Oryctolagus cuniculus: one gene and its partners. The protein of the gene in region 2 interacts with the protein of the main gene of each other region in a biochemical or structural test. Links are inferred from orthologs where the notes say so. Each region holds a gene or a part of one and is shown on either strand. Other genes may lie near its edges.

Region 1 (4,254 bases), on a different chromosome or scaffold from region 2:
CCCAGGAGCTGCCATCCCTGATGTGGGCACCTTTACATAAAGGCATAAAGTGCTTTTAGAAGTTGATGAGCTAAAAATAATACAAGGGCATGGGGGAGAGCGGTAAGTGGAAGCATTAATCCAAGGGCTCTGCCCAATCTGCAAAAAAATGTTCAGGTGTTTTCAGTTCCTTCTGTGGCCCTCGCTGGAACTCCACTCTCTAGGAATTCATCTGAGTTTTTAAGCATCCCTGATTAAAAGTGTGAGGGCTAAGAACTTTCAATGATAAGACACATCAGGTGTTCAGGAAGAGTTCTCTCCTTCTGACGCCTTGCTGTGTTGCCTTTACCTTCAGGGATTAATAAATTTGTGAATATTGTTTTGTTTTTGGAGAGAGTGGAAAGAAGAGTGGGAAGGGAGTGTAGCTAAGAAGGGCTTTGAATGGACCCTGAGACCACTGGTTCAGTGTGTGTGTTGGGGGAGGCAGTGGAAAACCTGAAAAGTTCAAGGGCAGGGGAACTCCGGAACATCCACCTATGGCATGGACTATGTTGGCATTTCCGGATTGGCCAGGAAAGGTATCCAAAAAACTAACACTGTTACCCTGAAAAAATGCAACACGAGATGCAAATAAGTAACAAGCAAAGGAACCCTGCAGATGCAAGATACTCCATCTGAGTTCTTGAATAGGAGAGCTCTTGTATGGTGTCTCAAGAAGGAGAAAGCAACATGAAGCATTCAGTGTGGGACTGTGGCTGGAGAGACAGGTCAGAAGCACAGAGCACGTAATGAATTCCAGCTGGAAGAACGTTTGTCCCTGGGGTCCAGGCAGGCTGTGACCTGTTGAAAACCCCAGGCCAAAGGAGAAACCGCTCCAGAGCCCGAGTAGAACAGATGTGTTGCATTGAAGAAGAGGGTTAGACACGTGGGTTACGCGCTTTATTCTAGGACCGCGGGGGCAGCTTTCCTTGTTGACCCTGGGATCGCCCAGGCCCTCGGTCTGCGCCTACCTAGCTTCCCGAGAGTCCCTTTGAAAGGAGGGACAGGTAAGCACTGAGTGAAGCGCTGGTTTGGGGAGACCAGGGACCAAGGAACAATTCTACCCGCCGGGTGCGAAAGGGAAAGGGATAGGGAGGATCTACTTGGATAAACCCAGGCAGGACGCCCACGGTAAAGGAAAGGGGGCTGCGGCGAGTGGAGAGACGTGAGACGCAGAAGGCGCTGGGGTGGCCGTCCCCGGGTGCCCAGGTCTGGCGGGGTGTGGCGGCGAGTGACCGCTGCGGCTGCTGGAACAGGTGAGCGGCGGCAGGGTGCGCGGTCCCCGCCCTTCCCGGAGCGTGCGGCGCCCTACGGACTCCAGCCAGCGCCTAGCTGTTCCGCGGCTCCCCTTGGCGAGGGGTTTTGCAACTAGCAGCTGGCTGCCTTTTTTTTTCCCTCCCCTGTCTAGGTCTCTCCTTCTTCTTTTAGGTTGCTCCACCCCGCCCAGGATCAGGCGAGGGGGAACAAGCCAGCCCCGCTGCGGCTGCCAACCCGCGCCCAGTGCGCCTGCGAACTCCCGGAGCGGAGTCCCGCGCGCCGCCGCGTCTGCACCGGGCGCGCTCTGCTCTCTGCCCCGGACCCCGCGTCCTGCTCCCCGCAACCCTTCCCCACTTTTCCCCCTTTTGCAATCACATGGCGTTTTAAGAATGCCGGAAAGATGGCGGTAGCGGCGGCGGCGGCGGCGGCGGCGGCTGGGCCGGCAGGCGGGGGAAGCGGCCGGGCTCAGCGGAGCGGGCTGCTGGAAGTTTTGGTGCGGGATCGCTGGCACAAAGTTCTGGTGAACTTGAGCGAAGACGCCCTGGTTCTGAGCTGCGAGGAGGGCGCTGCGGCGTACAACGGCATCGGGGCAGCCACCAATGGCTCGTTCTGCAGGGGTGCCGGGGCCGGGCACCAGGGCGCGGGCGGCGCGCAGCCCCCGGACTCGCCCGCCGGGGTCCGCACGGCCTTCACCGACCTCCCGGAGCAGGTGCCCGAGTCCATCTCGAACCAGAAGCGCGGCGTGAAGGTGCTGAAGCAGGAGTTGGGCGGTTTGGGCATTAGCATTAAGGGGGGCAAAGAGAACAAGATGCCCATCCTCATCAGCAAGATCTTCAAGGGGCTGGCGGCGGACCAGACCCAAGCTCTGTACGTGGGCGACGCCATCCTATCGGTGAACGGAGCCGACCTGCGGGATGCTACCCACGACGAGGCGGTGCAGGCTCTGAAGCGCGCAGGCAAGGAGGTGCTGCTGGAAGGTAAGGGGTTAACGCCGCGCTGGCCGCACGCACCTGCGGGTTTTCCCACCCGCACCCCAGGGACCCGGCCCTGTGCGTGCAGGTGAAGGCGGCGGCGGCTCTTGGGATTTTTGACAACTTTTACCCAGCTTGGGGCAACGTGCCCCTCCCAAGGGGGGTGCACGGAAAGACAGGCGAGCGGGGTTTCAGGGCCAAAAGGTATGCTTAGTGTGCGATGTTTCCTTTTCGTCTGCGGATAATCCAAGTGTAGTGGAAGGGGCTTTGAGGTGTTGGGAGCGTCGCGGAGCGGATCCGCTCGGTGGTAGCAATGCAGTTTTCTGTTCTGCACAGTTTCCCACTCCGAAGCCTGCGCTAGCCCGCTGACAGGACTGAATCATGGAGGAGCAGGAGAGAGCGAGCAATATTTCAATGCCAAAACTCCGGTCCATCCTTCTCTATTTCCCGCCTGCAGTTTGGAGAGCGGGCATTGTGCCCGGGGAGTTGTGCCAAGGGCTAAGAGATGTGTTGCAATTTTAGGCAAAAGTTCACTTCCCCTGCCGGGTGTTTGGCCGGTCAGTCTGGATTCCTGGCTCCTCTGGGTGCGGAGCTGGAGCTGGGTGAAGTGGTTTTTCTGCCTGCATTTTCTGGAGCTTTTTCAGAAAGGTGTGGAAACAAATTTGCCCTTTGGAAACAGTTTCCCCTGAGCGCAAGGACTTTTTAGAAACTATCTTCTGTGGTCTGATGCCTCTCATTCCTTCGTCACCGAGTGTGAATAGAAGAAATAGCGATTTGTACCGATTCTGGAGCATGTGGCATTATGCAGGAGAAGAGAGCAGTGAGATAGTACACTGAGCACATGTTCTTTGCTGTAGCTGCGTTTCTCATTTGCTACCTGCTTTTCCTCCCGCTCTGCGTGCCTCTGCCGGCACTGACGCCACAATGTAGTTTGTCCACTTATCCAAGGCCCCCTTTACCTTACAGAGTGAATCGTCCAGAGTCCCTCACTTAGTTAAAGGTCTGTCCTGAGCTTGGGTATCCGATGACACGCATACCTTGTGAGTGAAGAAAGGAACTTGGCTATGAAGCAATATTCAAACCAAGACTTGGTGAAATGGCATCGATTTAAGTTCTAAACTCGGGACGTAAGTCAGGGTGCTGGGTGTGTGAATCTGAGAAACTTCAGAGTTGGGAAACCAACTTTGCACTGTGTGTGACAATTCAAGCAACTCCCTAATGTGTGAAGTCCCACCTCTTGGCCTAGAAGACAGAGGGCTTCTTTTCTCCCCCTTATTTGTCTAGAGGATCTGTGATGTCTTTATATTTAATTACCACCCTGGATCCAGAAACTGGAAGTCTGTTTGCTTTGGCTTGATGATTAACATAAGTAAACAACAAAGTTTTTTTTTGATTCAACTGTGTGTTGCTTTGTGTGAGGGGACAGGTGGGATCTGCAGCAAGTGTAGCTTGTACTCTAAACTGTTGGGCAGTTCTTCAATTTGCAAATACTTACTGTGAATACTGGGGGAAGGTGCAAAAGCCAGGCTATTTTAATTTTAGAATATCTTGTATGTTGTCCCTTTTTCTTTCACTGCCAAGTCATTATTCATTAAATTGAAACCAAAGAGGTTAAAAACAAAACAAACTCCCATCCAAAAAGAGGAAGAAAATGTGACTCCCTGTGGTTGAAAATAAACCTAGAGAAGCAAAACACAAACAAAAATCGGTAGCAACTGAAAAGGGAGTTGTGTGAAAATCTCTAACAGGACATTCTTAAGTTTTGTTATGTTGCAGGCAATACTTCAGGATCAAGACCTGTGGGCTTCCTAGACAGGAACCAACCTGTGCCCAGTGCTGCATCTTATCCCCAGTGAGAGTTTTCCGAAATCTAATAAGAGGAGCCAGGGGAGGTCCTGCATAAAGCAATCTCCTGTTAATGAGCTAGTGTTGGTCCTGGGTGCTATGGCAGCAGTCACACACCGTGAGGTCAAATGCAAATGAAATCCTCTCTTCTGCGGCTTGGCCT
Region 2 (3,500 bases):
AGGTGACCCTGTTCTAGAAGAGGCCCCAGCCCTTGTCTGTGCACCCCCGAGGGAGGCCAGGGTGGGGCTGGGGGGTCACTCACTTCTCAGGCTTGAGGTCTCTGTAAATGATGCCCAGGCTATGCAGGTGGTCCAGACCCAACGCCAGCTCGGCCAGGTAAAACTTCACGTCCTCCTCTGTGAACATGACCTGCAAGAGGCGCGAGGGGCTTCAGTGGGCCCTGGGCAGGCAGCAGCTTCCTTGTCCCTAGGGTCTAGCCTCCTCGGCCCTCCGTATCATCACGGGGTTTGAAGTATGAAATGATGGCTGCCCAGGGTGGTGGTCTTTGTCGGGAAACAGCCCAGGGGTCCCAGGGCCGAAGCCTGGGAGGAACTGTGTTGTTGGCCCCTGCAGAAGGACTGGTGCACAGCTATGAACTAGGACAGGAGCTTCCCACAGCCTGGAAGGAACGCAGCGAGGCAGGGGGCATGGTATCCAGAGCGGCGGCGATTCAGAACACACCTGGGATTTGTTTGCAGAAGAAACATGGGAAGGTTCAACAAGAAACCAATAAAAATGTTTACTGATAGGGGATACAGGGCACTGGGGTAGGAGGAAGCCTTCCCCATAAATATTTTTCTTTTGAATCATGTAAATGTTTTACCTATGCAAACACCGCAATAAGGTTTAAACCAACCCCCCCCCCCCCACCCTTGTTTTAAAGCTTGGTTCTCTTTAAAGTTGGAATTGTGTTAATGACCGTATTTTTCGTATCTGGCTCAAAATCCTTTTATATCAGTTCAAAATCTTTTGGCTAACAGGTGGGACAAGAGTGTGCGAGTCTCCCGCTTTCTCGGTGCATCTGGGCTTCTTTTTTTTTTTTTTTTTTTGACAGGCAGAGTGGACAGTTAGAGAGAGAGAGAGACAGAGAGAAAGGTCTTCCTTTGCCGTTGGTTCACCCTCCAATGGCCGCCGCGGCCGGCGCGCTGCGGCCGGCGCACCACGCTGATCCGATGGCAGGAGCCAGGAGCCAGGTGCTTTTCCTGGTCTCCCATGGGGTGCAGGGCCCAAGCACCTGGGCCATCCTCCACTGCACTCCCGGGCCACAGCAGAGAGCTGGCCTGGAAGAGGGGCAACCAGGACAGAATCCGGCGCCCCAACCGGGACTAGAATCCCGTGTGCCGGCGCCGCTAGGCGGAGGATTAGCCTAGTGAGCCGCGGCGCCGGCCACATCTGGGCTTCTCCTGGCTGCTCCCAGCTCTGCCCAGGGCAGCCTGGAAGAAGAAAGACACACAGGGGAGAGGCACCCTGAGCTCCCCCCAGTCGGTGAACATCAGACCCAGGGCCTAGCCCTCCTCCATCCACTGGGGAGGAACTCTCGGAGGCGCTGCCAGGCCGGACAAGGCCTGGATCAGGTTCACCTGGGGAGGCCTAGGTGGCTCCACACCCAGGCCGTACGGGACCCAGGAGTGGGAGGCCTTGTGGTCCGTCAGTGGGTTATCTGCTCACCTCTTTTGAGAGCCGTGTGAAGAGGTCCCCACCGCGCAGGAAGTCCAGAATGAGATAGAGCTTGCCCTCTGTCTGGAAGGCTGGGGAGAGGGGCAAGAGTCACCGGCCGTGTGACCTGCCCCTCAGCCTGCAGGTGGGAGCTTGGACAGTGTAGACCACCGGCCAGGGTGAGCGCGGGCTGGTGCGGGAGTTCGGGGAAGGGCTGCAGTCTCACCATAGTGCAGCTTCACCACAAAGGGGTGGTTCACGTCGGCCAGGATGTCCCTCTCCATCTTGGTCCGGACGCGGTCGCGCACTGGCCAGAGGAGAGGCAGTCACCCGGTGCCGGACACACGGCACACCCACTCACTCCCCAGGGCCACCCGAGGGCTCTCACTAGACCCGAGCTCCTGGGGCTCTGTGCCCCAGGCTTTGGGGACGCTGACTTCACACTGCCTCCTCCGTTCCGGGTCTGGTCCCGGCTTCCAGGCCTGCTCTCAGCCCCCAGCCCTCGGCAGTGCCCATCTGTCTAGCCCTGCGCTCCAGCACGCCTCCGGCCAGGCTGAACAACCCGTGTCCCTCTGCACCACGCTGTCAGAGCCCCACATCTTCCCTGGCACCTCGACCAGCCCCTGTCCTCTAGCAGACAAAGCCCAGATTCTAGAAGCGGCTGGCGCGGATGCTCACCCGGGAAGCTGACTAGGGAGACAGATTCCCTGGGCCCAAGACTCTGAGCCACAGGTCTGGGTGGGCTTCCCCACATATTTTTTTATTTTATTATTTTTTAAAATATTTATTTATTTATTTGAAAAGCAGAGGCAGAGAGAAAGAGAGAGAGGGAGGGGTCTTCTACCCACAGGTTCGCTCCCCAAATGGCTGCAATGGCCAGAGCTCGGGCCCATCTGAAGCCAGGAGCTTCTTCGGAGTCTCTCATGTGGGTGCAGGGTCCCAGGCACTTGAACCACCTTTACTGCTTTCCCAGGCCATTAGCAGGGAGTTGGATCAGAAGTGGAGTAGCCGGGACTCGAACTGGTGCCCAAATGGGATGCCAGCATCATAGGTGGAGGCTTCACCCGCTACGCCGCAGCGCCAGCCCCTTTCTTATTTTTTTAAAGAATAGAAGTTGCAGGGCTGGCGCTGTGGCGTAGAGGGTGAAGCCACCGCCTGTGACACTGGCATCCCTGAGTGCCGCTGGTTCAAGTCCCATTTGTTCCACTTCTGATCCAGCTCCCTGCTAATGCACCTGGGAAAGCAGCAGAAGATGGAGATGGCCCAAGTCCTTGGGTCCTTGCACCCACATGGGGACCCAGAAGAAGCTCCTGGCTCTGGCTTCAGCCAGGCCCAGCCCTGGGCCGTTGCGGCCATTTGGGAAGTGAACCAGCAGATAGAAGATCTCCCTCTCTCCTTCTCTCCCTGTAACTCTGCCTTTCAAATTTAAAAAAAAAAAAAAAAAATATTTAAATATTGGGGCCGGCACTGTGGTGCAGCAGGTTAAAGCCCCAGCCTGCAGCACTGGCATCTCATATGGGAGCCGGTTCAAGTCCCGGCTGCTTCACTTCCAATCCAGCTCTCTGCTATGGCCTGGGAAAGCAGCAGAAGATGGCCCAAACCCTTGGGCCCTTGCACCCATGTGGGAGACCTGGATGAAGCTCCTAGCTCCTGGCTTCAGATTGGCTCAGCTCTGGCCATTGCAGGCATTTGGGGAGTGAACTAGTGGACGGAAGACCTGTGTGTGTGTGTGTGTGTGTGTGTGTGTGTGTCTTTACCTCTCTCTGTAACTTTCAAATAAATAAACCTTTACCAAAAATATCTTGATTCAGACATCAGCTGGTCTTCCTGCCCTCAGTCAGGTCTCACCTCCCCCTTAGCCTCCCAAGCTGGACGAGGGCCTTCCAGCTACTTCTGACCAGGACTAATGTCACTTCAGGCTAACTTCAGACTAAGAGTGCTGGACTTCCTCTTCAAAGCACTGGCTTTTGTTCATTTGCATTAGTTAAGAGAGAGAAAGAGAGAGCATGAGAGAGTGAGAGAG
Region 3 (2,290 bases), on a different chromosome or scaffold from region 2:
CGGGCTGTACATCGTCAACCCCTGAAGAGTCTGCTCTTTTGAGGGGCCTGATGAAAGGGTTATTCTTGTCCAGGCCAAACACTTACTTTAGTAGACCTGCTTCTGTCACAAAGAACTCTTTTGAGTTTCTCTTTGGGGGCTGCTCAATCCGTGTGTGGTCCAGCAAGCAGGAGGCCTGGCTGGCCCCACCTGACCCTGCCACACAGACAGCCTGTTGGACTCACTCCCAGCAGCTGATGCAGGGGAAAGAGTGCTCCCTGCAAAACACACAGCGGGCACCAGAGACTTCCCCAGATGTGATGTAGGGTTGGCGGTCTCTTATTTGAAGATTTACTCTATTTATCTGAATGGCAGTGTTACAGAGAGAGCAAGGGAAAGACAGAGTGAGAGAGAGGGAGAAAGAGAGATCTTCCATCCACTGGTTCACTCCCCCAAAGAACCACAACAGCCGAGGCTGGGCCAGGGATGAAGCCAGGAGCCTGGAACTCCATTCTGGTCTCCCACTTGAAGGGCAGGGGCCCAAGCACTTGGACCATCTTCTGCTTTCCAGAAGCATTAGCAGAGAGCTAGAATGGAAGTACAGCACCTGGGACTTGAACCAGTGCTCAGATATGGGATGCTGGCATTGCAGGCAGCAGCTTAACCCACGGTGCCACAGTGGCAGCCCAGTGGAGGTCTCAGGAGTGGGTGGCTTCCCAACCTGCAGCAAAAACAAGGGGCACACTGCACTGGGATGACTCCCGGAGGGAGCCCCAAAATATTTTCCTCTAGGGTAATGTCCTTTCTTTTAACAAAGAAATCAATAACAATGAAAGCAAAAGGAAACTTACAAGGCACTGTTGGCTACTGCTTCTCCCTGCAGCTGGACGAGGGTTGGATGGACGATGACCGGAACGACTTCCTGGATGACCTGCACATGGACATGCTGGAGGAGCAACACCACCAGGCCATGCAGTTCACCGCCAGTATGCTCCAGCAGGTAACACCGGCCACGACCCCTCACCCTACTCCCCGCCCAGCTGCACCAAGGGGGCTGCTCCCTCCATCTCCCTTCCTGATCCTAAGACCCAGAAACCCACTGACCTGAAAGACCGCAAGAGAATAGATTAAGTGCCTTCTCCTGGAGCATGAGGGAGCTGCAAGCTGATACTCTCCATGAGCGAGCTTTTAACAACTGACCTTCTGAGAGCTGTTTGAAATGCACACGTGCTAGCGTTAAGGTGCAGTGGGGAAAATAAAGTGCTGTTTGCAGAAGCAGAGCCATTCCCTGTTTAACCTGAGCTGCTAAGAGCTCCCGACTGTGCCACTATCCTTTGTCAGAGTCATAATCACCCAGTGGAGTCCCTCTGAGCTAATGGAGGCCAGTTATGCAGCCTGCTACCCAAGGACGGGTCGTCCAGTAGTTCAGCCATTCACTGAAGGTGACAGCTACCCCGCACTGACAGACAACTGGGCCACAGTGCAAGGATTAGAGACACCCAGGGAGACAGGAGGAGGGTAGGTGCATTCCAGTCCTGCCCTCAGCGGCTTGGAAGTGGAGAGCCGCCCTTCCCAGGAAGGTTGGCCTTCAGGGGAAAGTCGGGCAGGACCTGCGTCACCTCCACCGCCACTTCTCGCCGCTTTCGGCAATGATCGTTTGTTCCTGTGGTTTCCCTTGTGCAGAAGAAGCATGAGGAGGACGGCGGGACCACAGACACCGCCACCATCCTGTCCAACCAGCACGAGAAGGACAGCGGCGTGGGGCGCACGGACGAGAGCACGCGCAACGACGAGAGCTCCGAGCAGGAGAACAACGGCGACGACGCCACGGCGGCGCCCGCCGCCGCGCTGCCGGGCCACAGGAAACTCACCTGCAGCCAGGACACCCTGGGCAGCGGCGACCTGCCCTTCAGCAACGAGTCCTTCGTGTCTGCCGACTGCACGGACGCCGACTACCTGGGGATCCCGGTGGACGAGTGCGAGCGCTTCCGCGAGCTGCTGGAGCTCAAGTGCCGGGCGGGCGGCGCCGGGCCCTGCAGCCCCTACTATGCCGGCAGCGGCCTGGACGCCGCCAAGAGCGACCCCGAGAGTGTGGACCAGGAGCTGGCGCTGCTCAACGAGGAGCTGCGCAGCATCGAGCTCGAGTGCCTGAGCCTGGCGCGCGCGCACCGGGCGCCGCCGCTGCGCGAGCCGGGTCGGGAGCCCTGGGCGCTGCCCCACGGCGGCCTGCGCGCCTGCACGGCGGGCGCCGACGCGCGCCGCCGCGAGCTCTCCGACATCACCGAGCTGCCGGAGAGGTCCGACAAGGACA
Region 4 (4,020 bases), about 88 Mb from region 2:
AGGGCAAAACATTCTTACAATAAAAATGTCAACAACATTGTGAGGCAAAGGATGTTTATTCAACACAGTTCATTAACATCACCAAACACACTCTAAACCTTGAATTATTTTCTTAAATTTGATATGCAGAGTGAGTAAATGTATAACATGTAGACCAGATTAATATTCATTAAAAAGCCATTTCTCTGATTTTCCAAAAGAAACACAATAATTTGGAATATACCAGTTTCATCAACCTAGCAACAGTAAGACTTTTTTAAAGGTAACAGTTATACTCTAATTTATACTCCAACTAATCAAAACAAAACACAAAGCAATGATGCAGATATTCCCATTATCCACTGACTCATGGGATTTGAACTACAAGGCACCTAGAGTAGCAAAGGCTGTCTATGTAGTATTGTTGACAGTGCCTGAGTGTCTGAACTAAAACCCTAAAAGCGTTTCCTTTATCCATCTTCACATATGGTCCTAAAAGTTAGGGGAAAGAAAGAATTTTGCAATTCTCAAAACTACATAAAGTTTTAAAGCCTGCCAGAGCTTTTAAAATTACCAATGAAAACATCACATAAATCCTTAAACTTAAAATGATGATGATGGAATATGAAGAAAATCTTCATTTAAGATTAAAGAACCATGTGAGTGTGTGCATCCATATAACCACACTACACTCATCCTTATGTATACGGTGCACCACAAACCATCAGTTCCCATTAAGAATAAGAACTATCAGAAATGTTTCCAAAGTGAGCTGCTGGGAAAGGAAAAAAAAAAAAAAAACTGAGGGAGACAAATTTTTCTCCAGAATTTTCTAGCATTTTGTAGTGAAGAGATGGACTGACATCTAGCCCAGATCACAATTAAGCAGCCCATCATATTGTGATGCATCATTTCAGCAGTGCACATTCAGGAAGAAGACAGCTTGACTTCTAATCACGTTGTAATCCTAATTCCCTCTCCTACAAACACCTCAGAAGGCAGAACATCCTACCGTTCTAACACACCCGACGATAACAGTGGACAACAAATTCATCAGGACTACTACCTACTACCAGCTCTCACTGAACCACTGTACGCAATCTGATCAATGCTTTGAAACTGGCAAGTATGCCATAAACGTAATGTGCTTTGCACCAGATTTTACTAGCATGAAACACACCAGGGCAACGGGTGCTCTTTCCACCTACCACTTCAACAGAATTCTGTTAAAATCAAAAGCTCCAGAAAATCCTTTTACTCAGCCAGGCACCTCGCTCTTCCTTCAAAACCCAGACTCACGTTCAACAACACACGGCTCGGTCACATTTCACCTCCGGTACCCTCCTCGGCTCCCACACACCTGAACCACCTGGCCTGAGTTAGGCTGTTAGATGTCTGCTGGCGTGCAAAACACCCCGAAGCAGCTAAGCCCTCCCAGCTGCACCAGGTGGTGACCCTGGCACCAAGTGCCTCCATAGTAAAAACCTTACTCCTTGTTAGAAGATGCGTTAAGACCATGCCCAAGAAAATGCTACAGTCCTGAGAACCTTTTCCACAAGGCCTCCTCCCAGCAGAAAACTGTCTGCGGTGGGCGACGGAGCTACAGATTTAGGAAACCCAGCCTCTGGTCGCAATTCTGTGACACAGCAGCCATGCCAATCCAGAACTCAGTTTTCCAATCGGCAAAATGGGAATCAGCACCCTTTCTCTCCACCCCCTCCACCCCCCTCCAAGGGAGTCAGGCACACCCAGGAGGTCTGAGATAGCCCGGGGACCCTAAGCGGCGGGAGATGCCAGCGCCCCAGGACGCCCACCTCGGACCTCCCTGACCACCCCCTCAGTCTCCACCCACCACCACCACCACCACAGCAAGGCAGAATAGGCGTACCTGGCTTCACGGTCTTGAGACGGATGGGCTCGCGGAAGTGGCGGATGACAGCCAGGGTGTCCCGGTTGGTGAGCCCGCTGACGGGCGTCCCGTTCACCTCCAGCAGCACATCCCCCGGGCTGGGCGCCTTGCCTGACACCACGCAGCAGGTGCCCCCGCCGGGCTCCTCGCGGAGCCGCCCCAGGTAGGGGAACTCGCCGCGCTCCGCGCCGCCCCGGATCTCGGCGCCCAAGTCGCCCGGGGGCCCGGCCCAGGACACCGCACACTCCTGCACCTTGCTGAGCCAGTGCTTCTTCTTCTTCAGCGTCTTCGACATCCCGAACCCCGCTGCACCATGGGGGAGACCCCGCGCGGGCGGCCGGGGCGCCGCTCCCGCCCCCTCTCAGCCGGGGGGCCCCGGGCGGCCCGCGGAGCCCGGCCAGGGGGGGCTCGCCGCTCTGGCACCCCCACCACCACCACCTCAGCCCGCCGGGCGCCGGCCCCTCCGAGCCCCGAGACGCCCCTCAGACGTCCCTCCCGGCTGCGCTCTCTGGGGCTGAGCGGGCTCCGCGAGGGCCACCGCGGGTTCGGCTGAAGAAAGGAAAAGGGAATTGTCCTCGGGCGATTCCAGAAGGGGTTTCGGGCGGGGTCACTGCCGACGGCTGGCCCCCGGGCTCTGCGCCCGAGCGGCGGGAAAGGCTGAGGCAGGGGGGCGGGGAGGCGAGGGGGGAAGAGCCGGAACGGGAAAAAATCCGTCGGGGGCGCGCAGAAGTAGAGCCGTCGCCGGATCGACCCGGGCTGCTGCGGAGCCGGAGCGCGGAGACCGACGCCTGGCCCAGGCTGCCAGGAAACTGCCGCTTTCAAACCCGCCGCAACCTCCTCCTCCTCCCTCTTCCCTTCCCCCCGCCCTCGCCCATCCCTCATCCAGAGCCCCGCCCCCTCCCGCCGCGCGGCGCCCGGCGCGCTGCCGTCACAGGCCAGGCGCTTGGGAAGGAGCCCAGCTCTCGACTCTCGCGCCGGGGATTGGGCCCCGGCAGGCAGGGGGCGGACCCTCGACGAGAATGAGCGCAGGTGATTGGTTGACGGGAGTGGAGGGGGCGGGCATTGGGATGACTGAAGTTTAGAGAGGGTGGAAAGAAGTTTGGAAGAGTGAGGAAGGACGATGGGGAGGGGCAGGGAAGTGGAGCGGACTGCAGGTCGCTTGGCAGGGAGAGGCCCTACGCGCGGCGACTGAAGCCAAGGAAAACTCGGATTCGTGGAGTGCCCGAACTCCCCGAGGTGGGGGCGTGGCTGGCGAGCCGGGCGGGGTCGGGGGGCGGAGCCTCGGAGCCGCCGCGGGGCGCTGAGAGGAGCCGGAGTGCTTAGACTGGAAGACGGCGCGCCGAGTCCCGGGCGCCTGCCACAGCCGGTCACTTACCTTGAGTCGATCTGTGCTGCTTCTTGTTCGTTCGTTCGTTCAACAAATGTTATTGAACGGCCACTGAGGCGGGGGATCCAGAGTCCCGTGGATGGAAGGTAAAATAGAATCCTGCGCTGCAATGGCTGCGTGAGCTGGGGCCAATTAGAAGACCTCTCTGAACCGAAGCGGCCTCTGCTGAAAGTATCCTTAACACGCACCCGTCCGAGTTGTTGGCGAAGATTACGTGAGATGTCTGTAAAAGATCTGCATGGTGCCCCGCCAGACGATGGATGCGCCTTAGTATCTGGTAGCAGATGATGATGAATTTGTGGTAGGGAGGAATTGTGCCAGCCACTGGGATTCCCGGGGTGAAGGAACACAGAGGCCCTGCTCTCCAGGAGGTTACAGCCTAGTGCGAGGGCCAGACGGGGCGGTGTGGATGGAGGTGGAAGGCGGTTAGGAACTAGCCTGGTAGCCAGCATAACTGAGTTGCAGTCTTCCCATGCTGCTTACTCGCTGTTTGACCTTGGCCAAATGGATACCTCAGAGCCCTTCCAACACTTATTTCTTAGAAATTCCTCCTGCGCTTTCTCCCCTCCCTCGCCTCCCCTTGTCTTTGGAATGCCCTTCCTTCATTCCAGCTCTGCAAAATCCGATCCATTCTTACCCCAGATGCCATTTCTTCCAGGTAGCCTTCTCTGGTTTCTGGCCCTCAGGTGCGGAGTGTCTTCTCGGAGCTCTGAGACTTCACATTTACGCTTTCTCCCATCTCCTT
Region 5 (4,183 bases), on a different chromosome or scaffold from region 2:
CTGGTGGGCCTGCTGTTTTTCCTATCCAGGGAGTCTCTCAGATAGGGAATCGTGATCGGTGAGAACACAGTTAAAGATGCCGGGCTTTGACTTGTCTCATCTGCCAAAAGGCACACAAATGTTACCCAGCCTGTTTTTTTTTTTTTTTTTTTTAAGATTTTATTTATTTATTTGAGAGGTAGAGTTCCAGACATTGAAAGGGAGAGGGAGAGACAGAGAGAAAGGTCTTCCTTTCGTTGGTTCACTCCCCAAATGGCCGCAACGGCCGGAGCTACGCCAATCCAAAGCCAGGAGCCAGGAGTTTCTTCCGGGTCTCCCAAGTGGGTGCAGGGGCCCAAGCACCTGGGCCATCCTCCACTGCCCTCCCGGGCCACAGCAGAGAGCTGGCCTGGAAGAGGAGCAACTGGGACTAGAACTGGCGCCCATGTGGAATGCCGGCGTTGCAGGCTGAGGATTAACCAAGTGAGCCGGCCCCACCGGGCCTGTTTTGTTGAAATATTTGTGCATAGTTTCAATTCATTGCCAGTGCTGTCTTTGCTCACCTAAGCCAACTTCTTCTATTTAATTAGGCTCCATGTTGCTAGCTCACCCAAGCCTTTCAGTGATATTACAATTTTCCTTATAAATAGAAAAAGCTTTCAGTTTGGGAAGTGAAAGGGACTGACCAGCTGGTGTCTCTGATTTATTGGGCAACAGTGTTTTCAGGTGGGAAGGATCCAGGAGGTTCCCTTGTGTGCCTCTGTTCCCTTAGTGTACAACCCGGAATGTTTTTCCCCCGCATGCTTAACTCCTTGGGAAGTGCTCAAGCTTGCATTTCCTTATATAAAAGATTTTCCTAAGCTCTCTTTTGGCCTACTTCATTTCTTGGCTTCCCTTCACATGTTCTCATTTTTAAACTGTTATTCTCTGTGGACAAGGGTTTTCACATCTGCCTTCTCTTTAATAATCAAAGTGTTGCACATCCTGGAACCGCTCACAGCATCGTCTGCACAGTCCTTACTTTTGCAGTAGGAACTGTGCACGGGTGGACCAAGAGCACTGCTTTTCCTGGTTTTATTTTTTCCAAGTAACTGCAAGTTTCATTTTCCTGATACTTTGATAAGAACATTTTTAGATTTCAACACTTCCTTTTTAAAAAGTATTCTCGGTGTTGACGGGTTTCCCATGAAGAATATAAATGTCAAGTCTTAACTGTCTTAGCATTTTACACAGCTAAAAAAAGAGGGACCAGGTCCCTGCTGCCCTGATCTGTTGGAATAAAATCTACCACACTGTGCATTCCCACGTTCCTAGTCCGTGTAACCCACAGAAATGCAAGCATACTTGCAAACGTTTTTGGGAAATGCTCGTTTGGCATGCATGGATTAAAAAAAAAGTTTGCATGGAAATAAATGTACCAGTTAATTCCATTTTCCCACAAATGTTTTTAAGTACCTTCCTAGTTCATGCTGTTAACGCTCCATGATTTATTTATCCAGGGGCTTCTTGTGTTAATTCGTAGAAAGATAGGCCAAAGGAAAGGTGGCAGGGCTCTGGAATGCGGTGTCATGGAGGTGGCTCTACCTGCAGGCATGGAAGGTGGGCTGGGCCATCTTCCTGAGACACCGGGTCTTGGCACTGAACGCAGAGGGCTCCGGGCTCCCGCTCCGCCCTCCGGGAGATGGCCCGATCAGGCCTGTTGATGGCCCCATCACGAGCCCTCGCTAACGCCTCAGCTGGCTGTATGGGTTTGGAGGACAACGCCGGCGCCTTCCTGTGCGCTCCTGCAGACGGCAGCCGCAGCTCCCCCAGGGCAGCTCCCCTGGCTGGGAGGAACCCTCCGCCACTGACTCGCGAAACGCGTTCTTGGCAAGGGGATCGCGACGGTCAGGGACGGTGCTGGTGTCGCCTCTGCATCCCCAGGCTCCGAAGGCGAGCAAGGAGGCGGCGGCAGGGCTGGGGACGCCACACAGCGGGACAGGGACAGCTGGCGTCCACACGTCTACTCGGGGCCAACCGGCCGGCCAGAGGACTTGATGTCTGAGCGCCTCCACTGCCTTCCCTCTCGCCCCCTTCCTTCAGTTTTCTTTTCCAGGTGCGCACAGGAACTCATGCCTCTTCCGGCCCCCGACGCGGACTCCCCGGGGTGGCTCCCAGCTTCCTGGCTGGGCAGGAGACCTCGCGGGGCGCGACGACGCCCCCACCCCCACCCCCAGCGGCAGGTGTCCTGGGCGGGCACCTGCCGGCTCCCATCCTGGTGCCAGCATCGGGTGTCTGGATCACGCTTTCGGCGGCCTGGCTCCCGGGAGGTCCTAGGCGAGGAGTTCCCAGTGCTGGGTTCCTGACGGTGAGGCTGCCCCGCGCGCCGATTGGAACGAGCCGCAGCACAGGTGTTCCAAGCGCACTTGCTGGAGAGCGCGCTGATGCCCGCAGGTGAAGAGAATTTAAAAGTCGCTGCTCCATGCCCGCGCCGCGCCAAAGCCGAGGCCCCTGCCTGCCCGGAGTTCCGTGCGCATCCCGAGGAGGCTGCAGCCGTCCGATGGCCCCGGTCCTCCGCCGACCAAAGCGAGAAGCTGCGCAGGAGGCGGGGGCTCCCGAGGTGGCTTCTATTAGCGTCAATACGGCGGAGGCTAGGGACCTAGCGGGAGCCTGAAAACTTGGAGCCAAACAAACTCTGAGCTCACAGCCGCCGCCGCCGCCCCCGCGCACTCCGCGAGCCCGGCAGCCGCGAGTCGGCGGCCCGGGCAGGGCGCGGGGACTGCGCGCAGCGCTCCGCTCCGCTCCCGGCGCCCCGGCCCCTGGCATGGGCTTTGCCCTGGAGCGCTTCGTCGAAGCCGAGCAGCAGGCCCTCGCCTGCAAGCCGTGCGGCCGGTGGCTGCGGGAGTCCTCGGGCGCGCCGCGCCTCCCCGCGTGCGGCACCCGCTGCCCCCGGCGCCCGCGCCCCTGCGCGCTGCGGTGCCCGCCACGGGCTCCGGACCGGGTGCGCCGAGTGCTGCCGCCGCCGCCGCCGCCGCCGCCGCCGCCACCGCGCAGCCTTCCCCAGGAGCTGCGCACGACCCGGCCGTGCGAGCTGGCGGCTCCCGTCGAGCGCAGGGCCTTCGTCCCTTCCCGCCACCGCCGCCTTGGCGACCCCCGGGGTTGCGTCTCGGGCCTGCGCGGCGGCGACGGGCGAGGGTCCGGGTTGCAGGACCCGGCTGGGGGCCGGCGTGAGACGGCGCAACCCGGGACACGCAAGGCCCGGGACGAATCTCCGCAGCTCATGGCTGGCGCCCGCACCTTCCCCGGAGACCTGGGCGGCGGCCGCGGCCGGGTAAGCACGGGGGGCTCGGGCTACGAGGGCAGAAGCGAAGTTTGGGTCTGAGCGTCCGCGAGCTGCTCGCGTTGCGGGTCCGCGCCCCGCTAACGCGCTCTCGCTGCGGTCCGTGGGGTGGTCCCCCTTCCTGCCTCCCGCTGGGCGTGCGCCCTGCCGCGGGTCCGCTCCAACTTCCCCGAGACGCAGGAGTGAGCAGGGGAGCCCGTTTTCCCACCGCGTCCCTGCACCTGGGAAGGGCGCCCCGCTCGGGGACCCCAAGGGCTAAGTGGTTGGGAGGCGAGGTTTCTTAGGCCCGCAGACCCCGTGTGCTGCGGGGCCTCGCTGCGAGCTTGGGCGGGGGCGTGTGTGCGAGAGCGCTTTAGCCGCCCCCACCGCACCCTCGTCTCCCTGCGGCCCGGGGCGGTGTTTATAGGGCCGTCCGGTCGCTGGCCCAGGGCCTGGCGCCGCTGGCCGCTGCGCGGGGAGCCGCGGCTCAGCCCGACTCGCGCTCCATTCAAGGAGCTGTTTGCATCCCCGGCGCTCCCGGGGAGGGGCCGTCCCCAGAAATGCCCATTTGGGGCTGGCCGTTCGCGCCGCCTCCGGGGCGGGCGGCTGGGCGAGCCGGGGCGCTGCTGCCCTGGAACTCCGGCTAGGGGCCCGCGCTCCCCTGTGTGCGGTGATCGATGCGAGGGGCAGACCCGGGAGAGACGCAGGGCAGCGCTAGGCGTGGGGACCTCCGGGAAGAGCCTCGCGCCGCCGGCAGAGGCCGCTGTGCGCGCTGCCCGGAGGCGCTCGGGGACCCTGGCCTGGGGCGCGGGCCGTGCAGCGGCTTGGGCGGAGCTGCTGGGGTTTCCACTCGCACGCCGCCCTGGGTGAAGTGCACCTTGCGGGCTCTGTAGTGCCGTAACATTG
Region 6 (3,500 bases), on a different chromosome or scaffold from region 2:
CAGCACGCGGTGGGATAAGCTGGGTAGAGGAACACAAGGGTCTGGTGGTTTACCCTGAGACTGTGGGTGAGGTAGCCTGGGACACGGATGGGGTAATGAGAGTAAATGGGATAGCCTGGGGCCAGGGACAGGATGGGGTAGCCTGGGGCAGACCCCGAGGTCACTGGGCCCCCTGCAGGAGCTGGGGACTTGGTTCCCCGCCGGGCTCCATGTCCACCACTGCCCCTTCCCCCCCACCCCGTTGCTGGCACGCCCACCTCCTCATAGTCGTTCTCGGGCGTCAGAAAGTCCTCCACGATGGTGACGCGGGGGCCCAGCTGCTCACTCAGCGCATCCAGGAAGCGGTCAGTGTCCCGGCTTCGCATCGGGCGCGAGAAGGTGAAGCGCTTCCTGCGGCTGGGCGGGCGGGCAGGGTCCGGGCTGGGGGGGCTGTCGGGGTGGACGGGCCCTGGCTGTGGGGAGGGCGCCCTGCTGCTGTCCAGGCTGGCGTAGGGGTGGGACTCGGAGCTGCTGGGGGAGCCCGGGTCCCCTGAGCACAGCGGGTAGTAGCAGGGGGAGGGCAGCAGCCGCTCGCTGGGCCAGGAGACGCTGGACAGGGTCCTGGGCCCTGGGGTGGGGGATGGAGCGTGAGGACCCCTGTTCAGCCTGCACCCAGGTCACAGGTGCAGGCTGGAGGGGAGGGCCCGGGGCAGGTCAGTGCTGTGGCCCTAGGCACTCCCCTTTGCCCAGTCTGGGTGACTCTGCCTCCCAGGCTTTTCCCAGCGCGAGGTCAAAGGTCAGAGCACCTGAGGGAGACCCGACTTAGCCCCTGGACGGGCTGGACCTTGAAACAGACACCCCAGCCCAGCTGCACGCCATTCAAAGGGCCGAGGGGCCGAGGGTCAGGTGGCCCCTCCCATGCCCAGCATGCCCTGGGCACACAGGGCTCTTGTCCTCTGACTCCCTCCCGCACAGCAACCCACATGCACGCTGTAGTTTGTCCAAGGGCGCGTTGCTAACGCGGGGACTTCCATGGCTGGGGTGAGGGATACAGGTGACATGGGAGGGGCCGGGATGACCCTGACCACGTGGACAACCCTGACCCGTGCATGGAGGCCTCTGGGGGAGGGGTTCCCTCTGCCTCGGGGACGTTTCCCAGGTGTGTGGACCACAGGGACGACCAGACAGGAGGACAGTGCCTCCGGGGACCGGGCTGGCAAGCCCCTACCTGCCGTGTCTGCTGGGCTGGGGCCTGGCGGGGAGCCCAGGGATTTGGATGTCGACCCCATCTTCCCCTTGAAGCTGCTGCTCAGCCGCGACTCGAGCTCCGCGTAGACGGCCGACATCTGTGGGGACGGGGCATGGGGAGTGCAGCCCACGCCCGCGTCTCCCGCGTGGCCCTAATGTGGCTTCAGCCAGCCAGCAGCAGCCACGGGGGCGCCTTGGCCTGGGGCCTCCTGGGCCCCCTCAGCTATGGGCACCCCCATCCCTGCGCATCCCACCTGGGGGGCAGGGCAAGCCTCACCATCTTGGGGTTGGGGGTCTCGGGGAGGGATGTGCCGTCGCCGGCCTGGCGCTCTCCTGGGATCAGAGGAAGCGGCATCTCAGCGCACTCGCTGGGACCTGCTGAGGAATCAGGAATCAATCAGGGGCGGCCGCGCCTGCCCTAGGGGTCTCCTTACCACACCTGAGCCGTGAGGCCTGGGCCCTGGCCTGGATCCCACAGGCCCCGCGGACCCAGGATGGCCATGCTCAGTCTTGCCTGCCCTCATTCTCTGTCAAGTCTCAGCACTGCACACCCCTTTTGCAGATGGGAAAACTGAGCCCTGGAGGTCCTCTCCCACCTACCCACCCCAGCCTTTCCATCGGGGGCCATACCGCAGCTGAGGCTGGTCTCCAGGCCCTGGGACCGGAGGCTCCGGCGGCACACGGAGGAGGCCCTCAGGGAGCTCCGTGGCTGGGGCTCGGGCACCGGCTCTGGCTCCAGCTCCGGCTCTGGCTCCGGCTCTGACTCTGCTGTGGGACATGCAGGTGAGATGGTGGCCTCCCACCCTCTCAGCCAGACAAGGAGCCTCCAATGAGGGCAGAAGTCGCCTGGACCAAGAAGTGGGCCCCAGGCCAGGGAAACCGGGCACCAGGACACAGGAGGAGCCCCCCGGCCTGGCCAGCGGAGGGACAAAATCCGATCCACAGGGTTCTTCCCATGGTAAGAGTCTAGGGTCCCTTGCTTTCTAGGGGCTCAGTGTCCCATGCTGGGACCAGGCTCATCACTGCTGTCCAAAGGGGCTTAGGGGACAACAGGGAAGGGCCTGGCCTGGACAGCTGTGTAGGGTGTGTGCTGCCCAGCCCAGTCCCTGAGCTTCTTGCCAAGACACTTGTCTCCCCCAGAAAACTGTGGGCCCCCAGGACTAGGGCTCATGGGCCCCCAGGGCCAGCATATAGCGGGGCCTGCAGGGACTGTCAAAGCAGGTGCAAAGAGCCCCGAACAGGGCAAATTCACAGGGTCTGACACACTTCCTCCACCTGGCTTAACAGTGCAGGGTGCTGTGGGCAGGTGGGAGGCTCACGGCCCGGCAAGCTGTGAGTGTGTGCAGCAGGTGCACGCGCATGTGTGTGTGTGTTCAGGCACATGTGCTGGGAGCCCACCAGCCAGGTGCCCCCTGGCCAAGGGCTCGTGACCCAGGCGGCATGTGCTGGTGCATCTGTAAAACAAACCACACACACACTTCTCAGCCCGTGACGCACACTTCCCAGGATGCAAAGCAGTGCTGCTGAGGTCACTCCCATTCTGTGCGTGAGGAGCCTGAGAGCAGGCAGTCGGGTGGGAGAGCACAGCTGCCTGTAAGGACTCCTGGGTGGGGACAGGTGTCTGGCTGTGCACCAGGTGGGTGGGGCAGCTTACCCGTCATGGCCGTGTAGCCGAGGAAGCACTCGATTTTCTCCTGGCAGAGCTCCTGTTCCTCATAGGTCAGCAGCTGGTAGATGAACTGCCACAGCACCTGCTTGGCAGGCGTGTCCAGCACGGGATAGACGTCCACAATGAGGGTGTCGATGTTCCTGGGGGAGGGTGCAGGACAAAGGGGTTCATTATCCAGGGGCTCACCGCAGCGGGTAGGGTGGGGTGGAGACCAGGGCGATCCTTCCAGGCCACAGAATTCAGCCAGAGAAGGAGCAGCAGGCAGGAAGGTGGGCTCTGGGGCCAGGTCGGCAAGATTCAAATCCTGGCTCTGCCACTGAGCGGCTGAGTGTCCTTTCTCAGCTTACTTAACTTCTCTGTGCCCACCTATAGAATGGGGATCAAAATAGCACCTACTGGGCTGGAGTGGTGACACAGCAGGCTAAGCCATCGCTTACAACACCGGCATCTCATATGGAAGTGCCGATTCAAGTCCCAGCTGCTCTGCTTCCAATCCAGCTTCCTGCCAGTGCACCTGGGAAGGCAGCAGAAGATGGCCCAAGTGCTTGGGACTCTGCCCCCATGTGGGAGACCCAGATGGGGTTCCTGGCTCCTGGCTTCAGCC
Region 7 (3,500 bases), on a different chromosome or scaffold from region 2:
TAATTTAAAGTTTTTAGCATTATGCTAGTTTCATATAAACATTCAAATTGACCATGTATGGGTATTCCAGGAATTTCAGTTTTCTTATTAGCTAATAATTTTGGTGCTTTTAATCTTTTTTTTTTTTTTCAGGCAGAGTTAGAGACAGAGAGAAAGGTCTTCCTTTTCTGTTGGTTCACCCCTCAGTGGCCGGCGCACTGAGCCGATCTGAAGTCAGGAGCCAGGTGCTTCCTCCTGGTCTCCCATGGGGTGCAGGGCCCAAGCACTTGGGCCATCCTCCACTGCCCTCCCAGGCCACAGCAGAGAGCTGGCCTGGAAGAAGAGCAACCGGGACAGAATCTGGCGCCCCAGCTGGGACTAGAACCCCGGGTGCCGGCGCTGCAGGTGGAGGATTAGCCAAGTGAGCCGTAGCGCCGGCTGCTTTTAATTTCTTCTTAAGTAGTGATAGTCATTTTTTTAATGGATAAAAGAGTTGTGATTTTTCTCTTGTATTACAGTTTCTGTAGAGTGTAAAATAGTTGAAAGGATTTTTTAAGTCCTAACATTTTTAGTGATCTACCTTGTATATAATGTTTAATGCAAAGATGGCATACCATTGAGGTAATCCTTTTTATCAAAATATCTTAATGTTATCAAACTTTCCCATGCCCCTATACACATAATAAACTACTGGAATTAGAAGTTACAAAAATGCAAATTTGAACAAAATTATATCTTATATACAGTATTACCATGTTACCTTGCAGGGTAGTTCACAGAACTGTCTGTCTAGTGTTTTAATTGATAGACTCTCTTCAGGGCCCCTTCTGGTATAAAAACAAGAGACACATCAGCTGCAGAGAGAGAAAAGATAATGTGATTTACTTTGTAAAGAAACCTTAGAATCACAGTCTGATAGTTACCTTAGGGTTTTATTGCTGCTATCCTTGCCAGCCTTAACTTAGACTTGCTCTGAAGAACATAACACATAAAGAAAATTATTACTAAATAGTGGTTTTCTATAATTACAGTAATATGTAGTTTTTTGGTTTTTCTTTTCTCCAGTTATGTTCATATCAGATAATGAAAGTTTTAATCCTTCATTGTGGGAGGAACAGAGGAAACAGCGAGCTCAAGTGGCATTTGAATGTGATGAAGACAAAGATGAAAGGGAAGCACCTCCAAGGGTGAGTCTGCTCCTTCAGATTTAAACAGACCTGCTAATATTTAAATTGGTGCTATACACCTCTACTGTGCTACTTGGGTCTTAAGAAAAACTACTAAATTCATTCCTTGTCCTCAGGGAACTTACTAATCCAAAATATTTCACATGTGAAAACATTTGAGCACAATATAAAATGATGTTATTAAAAGCTGAATTTCTGGTAAAGTTAATTTAAGAGAAAACCAGACTCTTCTTTAGGCTAGGGAAATTAACCAGAACTTCGTCTCTAATTAGTGGCTTTTAAAACTCGAGTTGAGTTTTCTTCCTTGTTCCCTAAATTTATAGTGATTTTCCCCCTTTCCTTTAAGATTTAATTACATAAATCCCGGAAATTAATAACTTTTTGTTACAGATATTTCGATTCCTTATGGGATTGAGAACATGTGTCACAATGATTTTAGTAGAAAGTACATATTTACAGTTTACTTAAGGATGTAATTATTTGCCACTTATGTACCTAGCTGAATCCCAGAAAATGACAGTTAGGCTGACCTTGGCAGAGTTCTGTTCCTGGCACAGGAGACTTAAGTGTATGTGTGAATTTTACATTTGGATAAATGTCTAGATGGTAGAAAGCATATCTGTTTCAAACCCAAGTGACACAATTTTGTCAGTATCCCCACTGTGTCTCCAAATAGAAAATATTTAAGTCTGTTGGAAAAAGATTTCAAAACATTAAAATTTGTAGTTAAGTCTTTAACTATTTTGTGCTAAAACCACATTTTTTAAAGTCTAAAATACTTTTAAAACCTGTCATCTGTCCTCAGAGTTGTGAGCTAGGTATTTGGTGTAGTTCAGATGGATTATAAAATTTTTTGAGATTGACATTAGAAATATTTATACTTTATGTTTCACTTATTTAATTCCTCTAGGAAGGAAATTTAAAGAGATATCCAACACCATACCCAGATGAGCTTAAGAATATGGTCAAAACTGTTCAAACCATTGTACATAGATTAAAAGATGAAGAGACCAATGAAGACTCTGGAAGAGATTTAAAACCACATGAAGATCAGCAAGTTGTAAACAAAGATATGGGTGAAAAGGTTAGAAAACTCAATTCAAAGGGATTGACAAAGCCTATATCCAACTCATTAAAAATTTTAACTTCTAAATGATAAATTGATCCTTTCTGTATATGCTAAATGTACTTCTAAGTTTGTGGTTTTGTTATCAACTACCTGAACTGCAAAGCTATGGTGATAATGAACTCCCTAATTGCTATTATTATCATTCCATGGCTGTACAATCTTCAGTTTGGCAGGATAGAGTCAACGTAGTCTCTCAAAAAAACCATTGCCTAGGGGATGGCCTCATGGTGCACCAGATTAAGCTGTTGCCTGCAGTGTCAGCATCCCAGATGAGTACCAGTCCGAGTCCCAGCTGCTCCTCTTCCAATCCAGCTCCTTGCTAATGCACCTGGGAAGGCAGTGGAATATGGCTTGAGTATTTGGGATACTGCCACCAGAGTGGGAGAACCATATAGAGTCCAGGCTTCTGGCTTCAGCGTGGTCCAACCCTGGCCATTGCAGCCAGGAAGAGCTCTGTGTCTTTCTCTCCCTGTAACTGTTCCTTTCAAATAAATAAAGTAAATATTTAAAAGCAAGAAAATCATTGCCTGAACAAAGAGTATGCCTGGGAAATGATTATTGGGAAAATATTATTTGTGCCCTCCAGTAATACTGATCCAATCTATCCAATTCTGATTTCAAAGGTAATTGTTAAAACAGACATTTGAATAAGATTTTATCAGATCATTACAGTTACTGTATATCCCACAATGAGCAGAAAACAATTCTGACCATCAGTGTGGAGCTTGCCAAGTTAAGTGACTGATTTGTCTAAGGCAGCCTTGCAACTTTTAAGGGGAAGAGTAGCCTTAGCTGAATTATCAATTATAATGTGGCACATGAATCTTCAGAGGCCACCTGTTCCCCAAATGGGTATTTTTATCTGTGAGTGATAACAAGTTTCTAAGTTTAAAGTTTCCTGAAAGTTGACACGTTACTTGCAAATTTTTATCTAAACTTTAATACAAAAACAGATATAAGAATTAATATTTTCTTTCACTTAGACTTCAGAAAGTACTGCTGCAATAAAAAGCAAAGTTGATGAAAGAGAAAAGTATATGATAGGAAATTCTATTTTGAAGATCAGTGAACCTGAAACTGAGATCAGTCCTGGGAGTTTATCAGTGACTGCACATATGAAAGCCTCTGAGAATGTGAAGCACATTGTTAACCATGATGATGTTTTTGAGGTATGATTTTATAATCATTCTGGAGCAGTCGTAAGA

What was found.
Region 1: the proteins of RPS6KA1 (region 2) and SNTB1 interact in a test that uses a peptide from one of them, tested with the Homo sapiens proteins (2 studies listed by BioGRID and IntAct, with this or other methods). The link is inferred for Oryctolagus cuniculus from reciprocal best matches to the Homo sapiens genes RPS6KA1 and SNTB1.
Region 3: the proteins of RPS6KA1 (region 2) and PDZRN3 interact in a test that uses a peptide from one of them, tested with the Homo sapiens proteins (2 studies listed by BioGRID and IntAct, with this or other methods). The link is inferred for Oryctolagus cuniculus from reciprocal best matches to the Homo sapiens genes RPS6KA1 and PDZRN3.
Region 4: the proteins of RPS6KA1 (region 2) and MAGI3 interact in a test that uses a peptide from one of them, tested with the Homo sapiens proteins (2 studies listed by BioGRID and IntAct). The link is inferred for Oryctolagus cuniculus from reciprocal best matches to the Homo sapiens genes RPS6KA1 and MAGI3.
Region 5: the proteins of RPS6KA1 (region 2) and PDZRN4 interact in a test that uses a peptide from one of them, tested with the Homo sapiens proteins (2 studies listed by BioGRID and IntAct, with this or other methods). The link is inferred for Oryctolagus cuniculus from reciprocal best matches to the Homo sapiens genes RPS6KA1 and PDZRN4.
Region 6: the proteins of RPS6KA1 (region 2) and GRID2IP interact in a test that uses a peptide from one of them, tested with the Homo sapiens proteins (2 studies listed by BioGRID and IntAct, with this or other methods). The link is inferred for Oryctolagus cuniculus from reciprocal best matches to the Homo sapiens genes RPS6KA1 and GRID2IP.
Region 7: the proteins of RPS6KA1 (region 2) and ERBIN interact in a test that uses a peptide from one of them, tested with the Homo sapiens proteins (2 studies listed by BioGRID and IntAct). The link is inferred for Oryctolagus cuniculus from reciprocal best matches to the Homo sapiens genes RPS6KA1 and ERBIN.

Annotation. Positions count from the first base shown.
Region 1 is NC_091437.1:146,580,983-146,585,236, reverse strand, and holds the start of SNTB1 (beta-1-syntrophin), read left to right. Parts: upstream 1-1,454; 5' UTR 1,455-1,675; coding exon 1,676-2,252; intron 2,253-4,254. UniProt on the Homo sapiens protein: Adapter protein that binds to and probably organizes the subcellular localization of a variety of membrane proteins. May link various receptors to the actin cytoskeleton and the dystrophin glycoprotein complex.
Region 2 is NC_091438.1:144,950,243-144,953,742, forward strand, and holds part of RPS6KA1 (ribosomal protein S6 kinase alpha-1), read right to left. Parts: intron 1,785-3,500; coding exon 1,704-1,784; intron 1,570-1,703; coding exon 1,490-1,569; intron 191-1,489; coding exon 84-190; intron 1-83. UniProt on the Homo sapiens protein: Serine/threonine-protein kinase that acts downstream of ERK (MAPK1/ERK2 and MAPK3/ERK1) signaling and mediates mitogenic and stress-induced activation of the transcription factors CREB1, ETV1/ER81 and NR4A1/NUR77, regulates translation through RPS6 and EIF4B phosphorylation, and mediates cellular proliferation, survival, and differentiation by modulating mTOR signaling and repressing pro-apoptotic function of BAD and DAPK1.
Region 3 is NC_091441.1:75,889,378-75,891,667, forward strand, and holds part of PDZRN3 (E3 ubiquitin-protein ligase PDZRN3), read left to right. Parts: intron 1-862; coding exon 863-979; intron 980-1,662; coding exon 1,663-2,290. UniProt on the Homo sapiens protein: E3 ubiquitin-protein ligase. Plays an important role in regulating the surface level of MUSK on myotubes. Mediates the ubiquitination of MUSK, promoting its endocytosis and lysosomal degradation. Might contribute to terminal myogenic differentiation.
Region 4 is NC_091438.1:56,976,569-56,980,588, forward strand, and holds the start of MAGI3 (membrane-associated guanylate kinase, WW and PDZ domain-containing protein 3), read right to left. Parts: upstream 2,801-4,020; 5' UTR 2,184-2,800; coding exon 1,868-2,183; intron 1-1,867.
Region 5 is NC_091440.1:132,670,998-132,675,180, forward strand, and holds the start of PDZRN4 (PDZ domain-containing RING finger protein 4), read left to right. Parts: upstream 1-1,383; 5' UTR 1,384-2,782; coding exon 2,783-3,289; intron 3,290-4,183.
Region 6 is NC_091450.1:39,964,061-39,967,560, reverse strand, and holds part of GRID2IP (delphilin), read right to left. Parts: intron 3,037-3,500; coding exon 2,882-3,036; intron 1,996-2,881; coding exon 1,858-1,995; intron 1,606-1,857; coding exon 1,505-1,605; intron 1,326-1,504; coding exon 1,208-1,325; intron 608-1,207; coding exon 258-607; intron 1-257.
Region 7 is NC_091445.1:86,967,413-86,970,912, forward strand, and holds part of ERBIN (erbin), read left to right. Parts: intron 1-1,044; coding exon 1,045-1,166; intron 1,167-2,076; coding exon 2,077-2,250; intron 2,251-3,278; coding exon 3,279-3,464; intron 3,465-3,500. UniProt on the Homo sapiens protein: Acts as an adapter for the receptor ERBB2, in epithelia. By binding the unphosphorylated 'Tyr-1248' of receptor ERBB2, it may contribute to stabilize this unphosphorylated state.